Linked DNA regions of Drosophila melanogaster. The protein of the gene in region 2 interacts with the protein of the main gene of each other region in a pairwise test. Each region holds a gene or a part of one and is shown on either strand. Other genes may lie near its edges.

Region 1 (5,271 bases), on a different chromosome or scaffold from region 2:
TGGAGCCCATTGATTGATGGACGTCAAATTGCTGTGCGAAATATGAAGAAGCCTCCTCTACCGATGATGAATGGCGGAGCGGAAGTGGCAGGAAACGTCAGCTTGACTTGATGGTAAGCTTTCATACATCTCTTCAGTCTGAGTTAACCTTTGCTAAGCTGTTTGAGGAGTATACTCGTACTCCTCTACTCAAAGGAGAATCTAACTGCATATCCAATCAAATGTGAAGTACAAGTACCGTCTAAAATTTCCAACATTGTTAGGAAGTGTTTTTATTTGTTCGCTTGGTCGCTTGGTAATGACTAAGTCTACTTAGTGTACTAATTGGCTGAGCCATTCCCTTTGCCAAAAACAGCTGCATAGCTGCACGATTATAAATAGGGTGGAACCACCGACAAACTCGCCCAGAAGCAACAAATATGTGCTCTAGTTTAAGCGACTTGTTTGCCTGTATCAGGGCCCAGGGAAATTCCGACACGGATTCCACCAGCACCACCCATCGGCGGAATATCGCTGACCTGGACGATGAGGCGCCCGATCTGCAGCTCCAACAGGAGCAGACCCGCAAGTGGAACGATCTTTCTATGCCACAGCGACACGATTCGTTTCCAGTTCCTCCTCCTTCAGCTGGATCTCCATCAACGGGCTACCTTCGTCCCTCATTGCGGTCAGCACGGGTCTCCTACGAAGCCTTGGAGCGCTACGATCGAATTTTTGGCAGATCTTTCCAAGACGCCGGGTCATCTGGTTCAGTTCGAAATATTCCCGACCAGTTCTAGGCGGAAATTGTTTGGGATTTCGGCATTGACATTAAACATGTGATCCCGCATATTCCGCTAAAAGTCGAACACAATAAATACATTTTACACATTTTCCTGACTTGACTATATGGACAATTTACTTGCATGCGATGGCTGGCTGGTGTTCGGCGCTGCGACGAAACTTGGCCAAACCATTGGATTAAACATAAAGCTGAAAAGGCAGAAAGTTCGGTTCGACTTGCGTGCGTGAAAGATTGCGAAGGTTTTACCGGATTTGGCCGTCCTCATCCGTACACCTGTTTAATCAGGGGCGTTCTGGCCTGCCAATTGGCGACTTAATTGGAAGGAAATGAAGCGGCGGCCTAAAGCAGAAAACATTTGGCATTAATTGCTGGTGGTGTGCCAAGGGGGGTTGGGGAGGGGGTCCACTTTCCTTCAGACACTTCAGACTTAAACACACAAGTTTTACAAATGTGGCACGCAGTCGCAACAAGAACGGAAACGGAAAATGTTATTTCGCAGCCACGAATGCAATTCCAGCAAACAAATGGCTCACAATGGGTGAAGTAAACCCCCGAAGCCACTACTGCCAAAGGAGGTGACTTTGCCCATTAGTCGGTTTAGGTGTCGTTTGCCGCTCTGCTGAAAGTTTCCAGCGAATGTCGCACTAAAAGTTGTCTTTCTCGCGATTGCGATACAGATGTGAATATATAGGAGGTCTTAAAGGGTGGGTGGACAATGCTGCAAGGAGCATGGAAGCAGATCTTGATGGGCTGCAGTAGCTGTGTCTTATCCGACTCGGAATTGCTTTGGAAGAAACGAGTTCACACTGACTGTATGCTACGACCGGAAGAAGAGCCCAATTGATAGGTCAACAATGAAACAGTGCAACTGCAAACTTGCTTTAGAAACGTATTACTCTGTGGTCTGCGCGTCGTATACGTAATGCGACCTACCGCCCCACAAAACGAAATAAAACATTTTAACAGTTTACAAACAATATTTTCATATTTATACTCATTTCCATCAGTACTCGTAGAGTAAATAAGTCAATAACAAACTTTAATACAGACTATAAGGTATCCGATAGTTGGCACACGACTACGAGTAGTTTCTATTGTTTGGAAAACTGTGCCTGGTTCTTTGGTGCTCCCAATCGAATCCAAACATTTACCATATGTGCGTGCATATACATTTTTAAACTTTTGCACACATAACATGATACACTCAAGTAATCCTATCCCATTTGAAGCTAACGTACACAGCCTTTGTCAGATTCGTTTAACCCTCTCCTGTCCATCGATGACCTGTAGATTGGTTAGGTTATTACGCCCATTTTTATTGGCTTTCAATTCGGATGCCAGTTGTCTCCTCATTTGGTTTGTGTTTTGATTGCAAAAAGTTAATTAAAATTTTGTTGTAATTGAATTTTATTGCATTGTTTGTTTGCATTTTGTTTTGTTCAGTTTTTTTTTTTTTGCTTTGTGCGGAGCTTTGTTTGAGTTTGTCGAGTTTTTCTATTTTTTGCCGTCTGTTTTGTTGTCTGGCCATTATGCCATTTGTTGTCATTTGGTTTTTGCCTTTGGTCTTAATTGGATTATGGCAAAAAGAGTTTTAATTAAACCAAATGAAGCGGAGTGCGGAATGCCAGTGAGTGGCAAGCTTTTTTTGAATCAGATGATGGTTTCCGGCAGCCTGGGATCATCATAACCATCGACGAAGCCTTCGAAGCTATCATCGCACTCCTGGTCGGCAGCCAATGGATTGCGGATGAGTTCAAAGGTCAGTGGCGGCAGCGGCGGCAGTTCGACCTTTACCACTTTCGGCGCTGCTTCTTCATTCGCGGAAGTCGATGGGAATTCCATCATACAGTCGTCCCCGCAGCGTCGGCAGTACAGCAGATCCACCAAGAAGCCCAGAAACATCCCCACCTCTGATTATGCGGTGCTCGCCCGACAGCTGATTTCGCAGCACTGACGATATCGGAGGCCCACCTACTACTATACTACCCTACTACTTCTACAGCCCCAGGCATCCACGCGTTCACAAATCCGCGCTCCAAGCCCCACGCCCCACAATCCACAGCACAGCTGCGTCCACAGCAGAATTCGAAAATGGATGGATTACAGACTCGCTCGTTTTCCGGTAAATCCATCGTCATCGGTGTAAAAAGCAAATGACAAAATTAATTAAAATTAAAATTAAATGTCGCTTGTTTGGCGTTGATTAAGGAGTGCGATCATGCATTATGCATAGCACATTATATCGTATTCACTGCATCGGCATTACGTAATCCACTGTCCACACACACACGCGCGCGCATTTATGCACTTATGCATTTATGTTTGTTGCTGTATAGAATGCACATTATAATTACATTTATGCGCGGCCATCAAATTCAATGGGACTAAAGCATTTGCATAGCGTCTGCACGCCCTGTTTACTCATTAAAGTCGAATTGCGAGGTGGCTTCCGTTCCACAAAAACAAAAAAAAAAAACACTTTTGAGCCCTCTGCAGGGAATACTACTATTTAATACCAAGCATTATTTAGACCAACATAATTGGGGATTTAACGTGAATAAAGTTTCGATTCTACATGGTGCTGTTACTACCCTGATCAGTTCAATGCATTTCTGCTCTGTCCTACTCACTCACTCGCTGTCTGCTGCAACGAAAAATTCAATTTGGCCAGAAAGAAGAGCTTAAAAAAAATGAATAAGAGTGAGAAATTTGCAATCTTTTAATCACACTTACTCACTAGCTCTGTCCCTCTCCTCCCTGGCTCTCTGCGCCTCTCTCCATCCCGCTCTGTGATTTTAATTATGCTTAACAAGCTGAGAAAGAAGCAGCAGCTGCGGCTGAGGAAAATAAATGAAGGCCATTGCTTGCCATCCGCAGGTCCTTTGAGGACTCCCGCTCCACATTTCACACTTTATGGTCCCCATTTGTTAATATTAAGTTGGTTGCTTTATTAAAGGTATTATGATGTCGGAATGTGACTAATTAAACGCACTCGGTCCATTTTTCCATTTTTTTCTTATGCTGATCTTACCCTAGATCTATGCTGCCCTTTGGGCATTGTTTGTTTATATGTTGGATTTTGCTATAGCTCTTCCTATTCTGCCGTCATTCGCCTTTCGAACTTTTTATTGTGTCAGTTAAGAAATATAACGCGGAAAATGCAAATTGGTCACAAATAGCTTATTTATGCGAAAAAGCCTAGAGCGCAAGCAAAAGACAGAAAGTAGGCCAATCATGCCACAGTCAAATTCATGTCAACCGCATGAAGGCCAGGCCCATACGCACCGACATCCTCTCCACACCACTCTCCTTTTTTTTTTTTGGGCTTTGGGTCAAGTGGAAAGAAGAACAAGCACGACAAGAATAACCACAACATGAAAAACTAGGTTAACATGGGTTAAGGTGTGTCATTAACTTGCCACAAACACACATGGGAGGCCTGGGCCGGCATTGAGTTTGCCCCACGGCACTGCACTGCGCGTTTCCCCTCTCCCATTCACCATTCACCATTCCCATTCCCGCAATTTCCATTTTCTCTTTAACCTATCCCCCACATGCATGCAGTGAGAAAAATCAGGTCCAGCAAGGACTACATGTTTTTGTTACTCTGCGTATGCTTAATGTCTTAGCAAAAGGCCCATTTTCCAACAGAGAACGCTGGAGTCGAGTTCCCCGACTATCAGATACCCATTACTCCACCTTAAACCCAAATGGGAGTACAAGCAGCACAGCGCCTATTTCCACAGTTTCACGCGAAAGTAATAATAATACAATTTTGAGCTTCCTTTGCAAGTGTTTTGCCTGCGGAGCCATTAGAGGGGCGTTTTACCACTGCTGCCGACGACTTCTCATTACGTCTAATGTGCCAAGGGCGACTGCTGCACCTGCGCCGGCACTTGCAGCATCCCCGCCTGGCTGAACTAATTAGCAGCTAGGCAAAGTCGAAGGCAGCTCAGCTTAGAGCGGCAAAGTTCTTGCTCTCGGTCGCCATCGAAATTGACACAAATTGGCACAGGGCGAATACATCAGGGCAATCAGATTAGACGATGTCGTCGTCATCACGTCATGTGCGTTGTGTTTTCCCAGTGCGCCTCATTTTCCAGCCCCCTCTCGTTCGCCGACAACTTCGTTTTTTCGCTCCATAGGTAAAAGCTGAGGAGGAAGCCACAGGAGCCACACAGCGATTTTGCAGCTGCTTTCAATCATGACGCACGGATTAGGACTCAGGTTAAAGATTAACAATGCCAAACAAGAGCGACAGACAAGGCGGGTTCCTCGTCTGTCAGGCAATGGAGGTTTGCTCACGTCACGCCCACTATTAGTTAGAGCGCTCCTGATGAATGGAATGGTTTGGATTGGATTCGCTTGGCTTGGATGCGACCATGGAGTGGAAGGAAACGTAAGATAAGATAAGCTGATTGTGAACAGCAAGTGCACCGAAGATGTAACAGAAGCCAGATTAGTCAAGAGAAGACTGACTTGAGGGG
Region 2 (6,542 bases):
ACCCGCTACGATCACGTATGTGATGTAGCCCATGGTGGGCAGATAGAGATCTGGCGCATTAACATCATATCGTGGTTGCACTGGGTGCTCTTGGTCGTAGCGCAGGGACCAATCCTGAAAGGAGTATGTAATTTATATGGTTTCTCCGTTTGTGCTTCACCACTCTCACCTTATGCATATAGGGGAAAAACAGAAGGCGCAACTTCCTGCCCACGTAGGCGTTGTCCACTGCGAAGTAGTACTTGAGCTTGGCTACGGGCACCCACTTCTCGAACTGATTCTCCATGATCTGCTTGCCCTGATCCGCTAGTTTCTGACCGTACTGCATAGCCATGTCTTGCACGATGGGCTGCTGGAACATGGCGAACTGTGGGTACTGTCCAGTGGGTGGAGCTACAGGCTGAGGTGCTCCTATTCCGTAGGTGGGTGGCCCAGCCGCCTGTTGGGGAGGTGGTGCTCCATATCCGTATCCGGGCTGCTGTTGTGGTGGCTGCTGAATGTGCTGCGAGGGCTGGCCGAGATTGGGGTCGAAGCCATAGCTGTTGACCGGGGCCGGAGCAGGTGCTCCGTACATATTGGGATCTAGTATTCCGGGGCCGGTGGGCGGGGCCATGAAGGTGGCGCCACCGCCCATCATCGGAGCCGAGGGTCCCATGGCGTTAACATCACTCACACGCTTCGGCGGCCTTGGGCGACCGGCAGCTGAGGCTATTTTGGGACAGAGCAACCATTAGTTAGTGCCGGAGGATCTAAACGATACAACTGGGAAGCGGGGAACACAGGCACTCAAGCTACACACGCATCACGGAACGGAAACGCACAGCAGGCATAGAAACTGGGGAGCAGGATGCAGTGGAAGCCAGGAGCGGCGCACAAAACGGGGTAACGTGTAACGTAAACAGTGACAGCACTCCGGATTCCGATTCCGGTCAGCGGCGGGTGGGGAAATTCCGGAGTGGCTGCACCGGACATCCTTCAGGTATACTTGCTTGCGTAGCCTGATCCTTACAGTTCTCCCACTTACGGTTCCGCATACCCGGATTTGGATTGTAGTTCATCTTTCTGGATCAGTAAATTGTATTCAAAATTTCGCTTTTTAACACATCACCATAAGCATTTTGTTGTGTGACCGGAGTTTAGTGTTGCCAAATACCAAAGCATGACCGCCTACCAGAATGTTTGCACTCCGATAGATAAAATACTAAAAGTTACAAAAAAAAATTATAGATATCTTTGTTTTTTTTTTTTTTTGTATTATATTTTGTATATTTGTACATTTCTCTATTTTTATAACGTTTACTCCGTAAGTTTACTTATATGTAAATTTATACACTATTTTATTTATACACTAAACTTTCTTTAAGACAATTTCCTATTGTTCATCTTATTGCGATATATGGATTTATGTGCCAATGGATGTCTCAGTACTCAAATAACTGATTTCTTGCATTGGTGGTAACAGAAATATCATCAAGTCAGCCATTATATAAAAGAACATATGTAGATGAAAATTTAAATTGATTGTATTTTAAAGATAAAATATTTTCATAGATTTTGGAGAGTGGATTTTTTTATTAAACTATGCGTTTAAGTGGAAAAGGGCTATAAACAAAACGAGTTGAATAGCAGAGTGACCATGTGAGTTTTGACAGTGCCATCTGGCAACACTGTCGGCTTACTTTAATTTTTAGCGCATTCCGCAGCGCAAAACAAAACAAATTTGATTAGTTAAATAATTGACTGCAGTTCACTTTATTGTTAAGTCAAAGTTATGGAGAACGCACTTAAACGGCGATCTTTAACGCTCAGCACGCGTCTGCTGCATAAGCGCCACAGTGGTAAGGATTTCCAAGCTCGAAAAATCAGGAATATCCATAAAACAATCCTTTGTTAATAGCTTCACCACAGAGCGTACGCACAGGGCACAATGTAAGTGTATCCGTGGACACTCCCGGCTCGCCCAACTCCTCAGCAGTAGTGGGAATCACGTCCGACCTGGAGAGCACTCCACCACACAAACACAAGCCCAGCTTGGACGACAGTGTGGACTTCTCGCCCCGTTTGGACATCAGCCTTTCGCCCAGCTGCCTCTTCTCCCAGACACTGGCCACCGAAAGTCCGGAGGTGGGCTGGCGCTGGAACCGAAGCAGCAATGCCACCACGGACAGTGGCTTCGACTCCGCGGAAATAGGCAGTTTGAGCCAGCGCGAACGACGCCGGCAGATAGCCTTTAAGGGCGTCGAGGATAGACGCAGCCAACTGGACAATGAGCAGTGGCGGGCACAGCAGATGCGGGCTAATGTTCTTCTTAAGGAGCGCTGTGCTAGGCTCAATAGCCAGTTGGAGCAAATAGCTGTGTCCGAACCAGTAATGCCACTAAAAACTCCTAAAGCTCCGTCACCTGTTGCTCCCCGCACAAGATTAACCTGCACGAAGGCTACGCCAGAGCCAGTGCTTTCCCCTGTAGCTGCCTCCGATCCAATGGCAGACTTCCTCAACGACTCGGAGACGGATCTCTTCCTGCTTGAGGCCTCCCAGCAACTGGAGTCGAAAATAGAACACCATGAACCTCCCAAATCAAGCACAAGCACCACACCCACTAGGCACCACACGGCAAAGCGACCCTCCTTCTACATGAAATTTCTGGAAGACGAAAGCGAGGGCGAGGACTGGCTAAACGCCCTAGAAGAGGCAGTGCAGCAGGCCACAATGCCGAAGAAGCCGCGCACCTCGCTGCAGCGCTACAAATCAATGCCAACCACAGGGGATTCGTGCAGCGGAGTGTCCACCCTGACCAATGTGACGGCCAATTCAAATGCCTGCACAAGTGCCTCCTCCGCATCTGGTTCAGAGCTAAGGGATACTCCGCGCATCAAACGGCACGCCAGTTCGCACGCTCTGTCCCCAGCCACATCGCATGGTAAGTGCCAGAGTGAAGTCAAACATTTCTAGACCAAAGCAAACTCATCATTTCGTTCCCTGCAGCGCGCGGCAAACTCTTTGGCAGCCGGAAATGAAACCCGATTAGGTAACCAGCCCCTGAATACAATCAGCTTCCCTTCAGCGAGTACCAATTGTGATGAGCAAAGTTAGAGTTTAAGATATTTCGTTTTGTTTCGCTTGACTTGCGTGCCCCCTTGCCTGAGCATTCTGTATACGAGTACGCTAATTGATTAATGCAGCTCCAAAGCGTCTTTGAAAATGTTAATTTAAGCCTAATTAAAAATTAATTGTAATTTAAAGCAGGACCCTTAATATTCGCATCGAAGGCCTGTGCGTTCGTTCGGCGCATGCGACTCGCCATATGTTCGGCATTATCGGGCCGCGAACGCGCCGCCCACCAGTACCACCAGTACAGGTGGCAGGACGCAGACGGACAGGTGGATACGACTGGTCGCCGACAGGCAGTGAATTGACGTCCCCCGGTTGAGCTTTCATTCACGGATAGGAAGCTCGTTGAGTGCGACAGCGTTTTAAATTAATTGAAATGTAGGCGAAGGATTTCTGTTTTAATATTCAGACTATGGTTATATATAGGTCAGTTGGATTTCTTCGCGTCTTTGAGTTGCTTGAGAAGCAGCTGATAAACCCAACAAAATTAGTATTTAATTACACGTTACCTAAGTACGCCAATTCCTCATCATCTTCGATTGTTTCAATGAATATTTCGTTTTCTTTTTTCCACTATTGATAAACCTGTTTAATATATTATTAAGCCTAATGTAAATGCTTACATTGTGCTGGTTTTTTATATATGTATGAAACATTCAAGACCCAAGCCTTAATAATTTAGTGTATACAAAAGTATTTCTTATTTTTCGTTTATATTACATAAGTTGTATTGAAAAACAAATAAAAACTGCAACTTATTTATCTCTTGAGTTATTTTTCCGGCAACCAATCAAGCAAACATTACCCAATGTTAATTTATGTGGAGTTCATAAAATTAAATTTAAAATGCAATGAGGAGTCTAAGAAGGGATTTCCCTGGAAAACAGAATTTATGGCAAATGAAATCAAAGTGTGTGAATCCCATCTCGCACTTAAAACTCGGGAGGAGGCAACAATCAAGTCGGCATGAAAAGCCGGCGAAAGTTGCCCCAGCTGTCTTCACTTTTCGCTTGGCCTGCAGTTTAAAGGCTTGGGTGCTCGAGGCTTTATGAACCTATTTGGGCTAAGGTCAAAGTTGAAGCCCTTTCGCAGCCATTACGCGTAAGAGGCAATTGCGCCCATGTTTATGAATAGTCCTCCTCCAGTCGTCAGTAGTCCCTTCGCCATTCGAACCGCAGGAGCAAGTGACTCCATTCAGCCGAATCGTGCCATTCAGCCGAAAGTCAGCGAAAGTCAAGTATGCTGCCATATGTTTACGGAGCGCAGCATAAACCAATGACAAAACACTAGCTACAACTTAGCACGGAATGGTGGGTGGCTAATGGCAGCGGGCGTCCAAACTGGTGACGTCTGCGGGCAGCCAAAGCCGCTGCAGAAGCCAAGCCAACCGAGATGGAAAGCCTGAGTCGGTGGGAAAAGCCATAGCAAAAGCTTATCCAACGCAGCTGAGCAGCAGTAGGCGAGCAGGGGCGTAGTCGGGTGGATTATGGGGGATTAAGCTTATCTGTGTGATATGTATATTACTTACTTTACCATGATAGCGTACTTCTAGTTTTGCTAGCGTACTTCTAGTTTTGTAAGCCTAACAGTAGTAGCCCCTTGGAACATTCCTGTGCACGCCACTGGCGAAGCTGGTAAGACAACGGTATCTCCGCTAGGGGTGCGTCGAGTGAGTGGCGGGTGGCTTATCGCCTGCTAGTCGGAGCTTTCGAGCGAGCTTCGGCGGCGAAGCTTTTGCCACCGCTTTGGCGCCTGGCGGACATTCATAATGGCGTCCGTCGGTACCGCTGGCGAACAGTACTCAGCGCGCAGCGCCCCAGTGAAGTTCGTGGCAGCGCACAAAGACTCCAGACGAAGTACATAGAAACAGAATTTCAGGCGGAAGGAAAGCACAACAAGCTCCATAGAAGGGGCCAAAAATACACAATAAAGAAAACAAATTGCAACCACAACAAGAGGATATTTTGCCAACCGAGCAACTTGATCCTGGCTACCCAATTCGCGTCGCCAATTCGCAGAGTGTGCAGTGGAGCGCGTCCTTTATTTTCGTCAGCACTTCGGTATCCTGCCAACGGAAAAAAATCACCCAAAGGACGCCCCACGCACCAACTGTTTGTACGGGCTGCCAGAGTTGCCCCATCGCCGCCAGGAGTCAGAGGCCAGGAGGAACCCGCAGGACCAAGGCGTCCAATCTGAATTCCATGGCAGCAGCCACATGGAGCTGGCTGTTGGCCCCATTCCTGCTCCTCCACTGGGCCAGTGCAGGAGCGGGCGGAGGAGCAGGCGGCTCGGGAGCGGGACTGAGCGGCCCCGCCGTCTTTACCAGCTCCTTCCTGGTGCGCTTCCGGCGCGGAGTGGACAACTCGTTTGCCCATGATGTGGCCGACAAGTACGGCTTCGACAACCTAGGCCCGGTAAGTGGAATGTGCGAAAAATCAATTATTATATTGCCGACGGCCGGCTTGGTGGCTCGCTTCTTTTGGGCCAAGTTGTTAGCGTTTCTGGCTGACATGCTGCACTTGTCGGGCGCGTGTCAGGCGTTAATTGCGATTGCTCGAGGGGTCTGGGTGTCCTAGTGCTCGAGTGTGTGTGTGGATACCAGGAGCGTGCTCGGAATGCCAAAGGCAGCTTTTGGCCAGCTGGCGAGCGGCAAAGTTTTTGGGGCTTGTGGCATTGGCCAACTTCCGTCGGCAGAGCGAAGTTTCCGCTGCATACCGCCAGGCGCAAATTTGCGCATTGCATGCTAAAGACCCATTGCATTCGAGCCAAGGTCAACGTGGCGAAAATAAACTTGCCCACACACGGGGGTAAATAACATCATAATAGGTCAGTAATTTGCACTCGAATCGCTTCTGTCTGCGGCACTTTGACCTGTCATTCCAACGATTTTCTGCCCAGATTATGTCGAGTTTCAAATGAAAAAGTGTAAATAGAATGGAATCAATTCGCTACGGATCAATGATGCATGTATAATCATTTCCAAAGTATTGCTTCTTGTATGTTTGCTTATCATACAAACTATTCGTTGCGAAATCATTCCTGTTGTAATTCCATGTGCAACGTCAGTATGGACTTTCACTTTCTGCAATCCTGACAGCCCTGCGATTCGCATCGAGAAACCCTCTTATGGGTTTGTCATCCGTCAACGTAATGCGTAACCATTGCCCAATTCTGTCAGCACTTGACAGCTATGACGCGCACTTGTTGCACACGCACTCGGATTAGGTCAATAACTCACTCGAGGATTTCAGGATTAATGCGAATTCAAGAGCTGGAACGGACGCAATTAATTAGGGGCATCAATAACAACTAGAGAGCGGTAGATGGGCATGGGGGAGGGACTACAAAAAGCTGGCGCTAAATCCAATTAACTCTCCTATTCCTTGGAAATCCGATATCCAGTCGTCACCTGAGGCCCCGGCTCGCTGTTC

Evidence for each region. The genes of interacting proteins can lie anywhere in the genome.
Region 1: the proteins of CG6425 (region 2) and CG3713 interact in a two-hybrid assay, tested with the Drosophila melanogaster proteins (one large-scale study listed by BioGRID).

What each region holds. Positions count from the first base shown.
Region 1 is NC_004354.4:844,418-849,688, forward strand, and holds CG3713 (uncharacterized protein), read right to left. Parts: upstream 2,741-5,271; 5' UTR 2,687-2,740; coding exon 2,435-2,686; 3' UTR 1,754-2,434; downstream 1-1,753. Other genes in the region: CG14635 (uncharacterized protein), read left to right, coding at 420-779.
Region 2 is NT_033777.3:26,712,494-26,719,035, reverse strand, and holds CG6425 (uncharacterized protein), read left to right. Parts: upstream 1-1,646; 5' UTR 1,647-1,771; coding exon 1,772-1,838; intron 1,839-1,897; coding exon 1,898-2,920; intron 2,921-2,985; coding exon 2,986-3,017; 3' UTR 3,018-3,871; downstream 3,872-6,542. Other genes in the region: Yif1 (Yip1-interacting factor 1), read right to left, coding at 1-114, 170-708, 1,010-1,058; amon (amontillado), read left to right, coding at 5,313-5,525.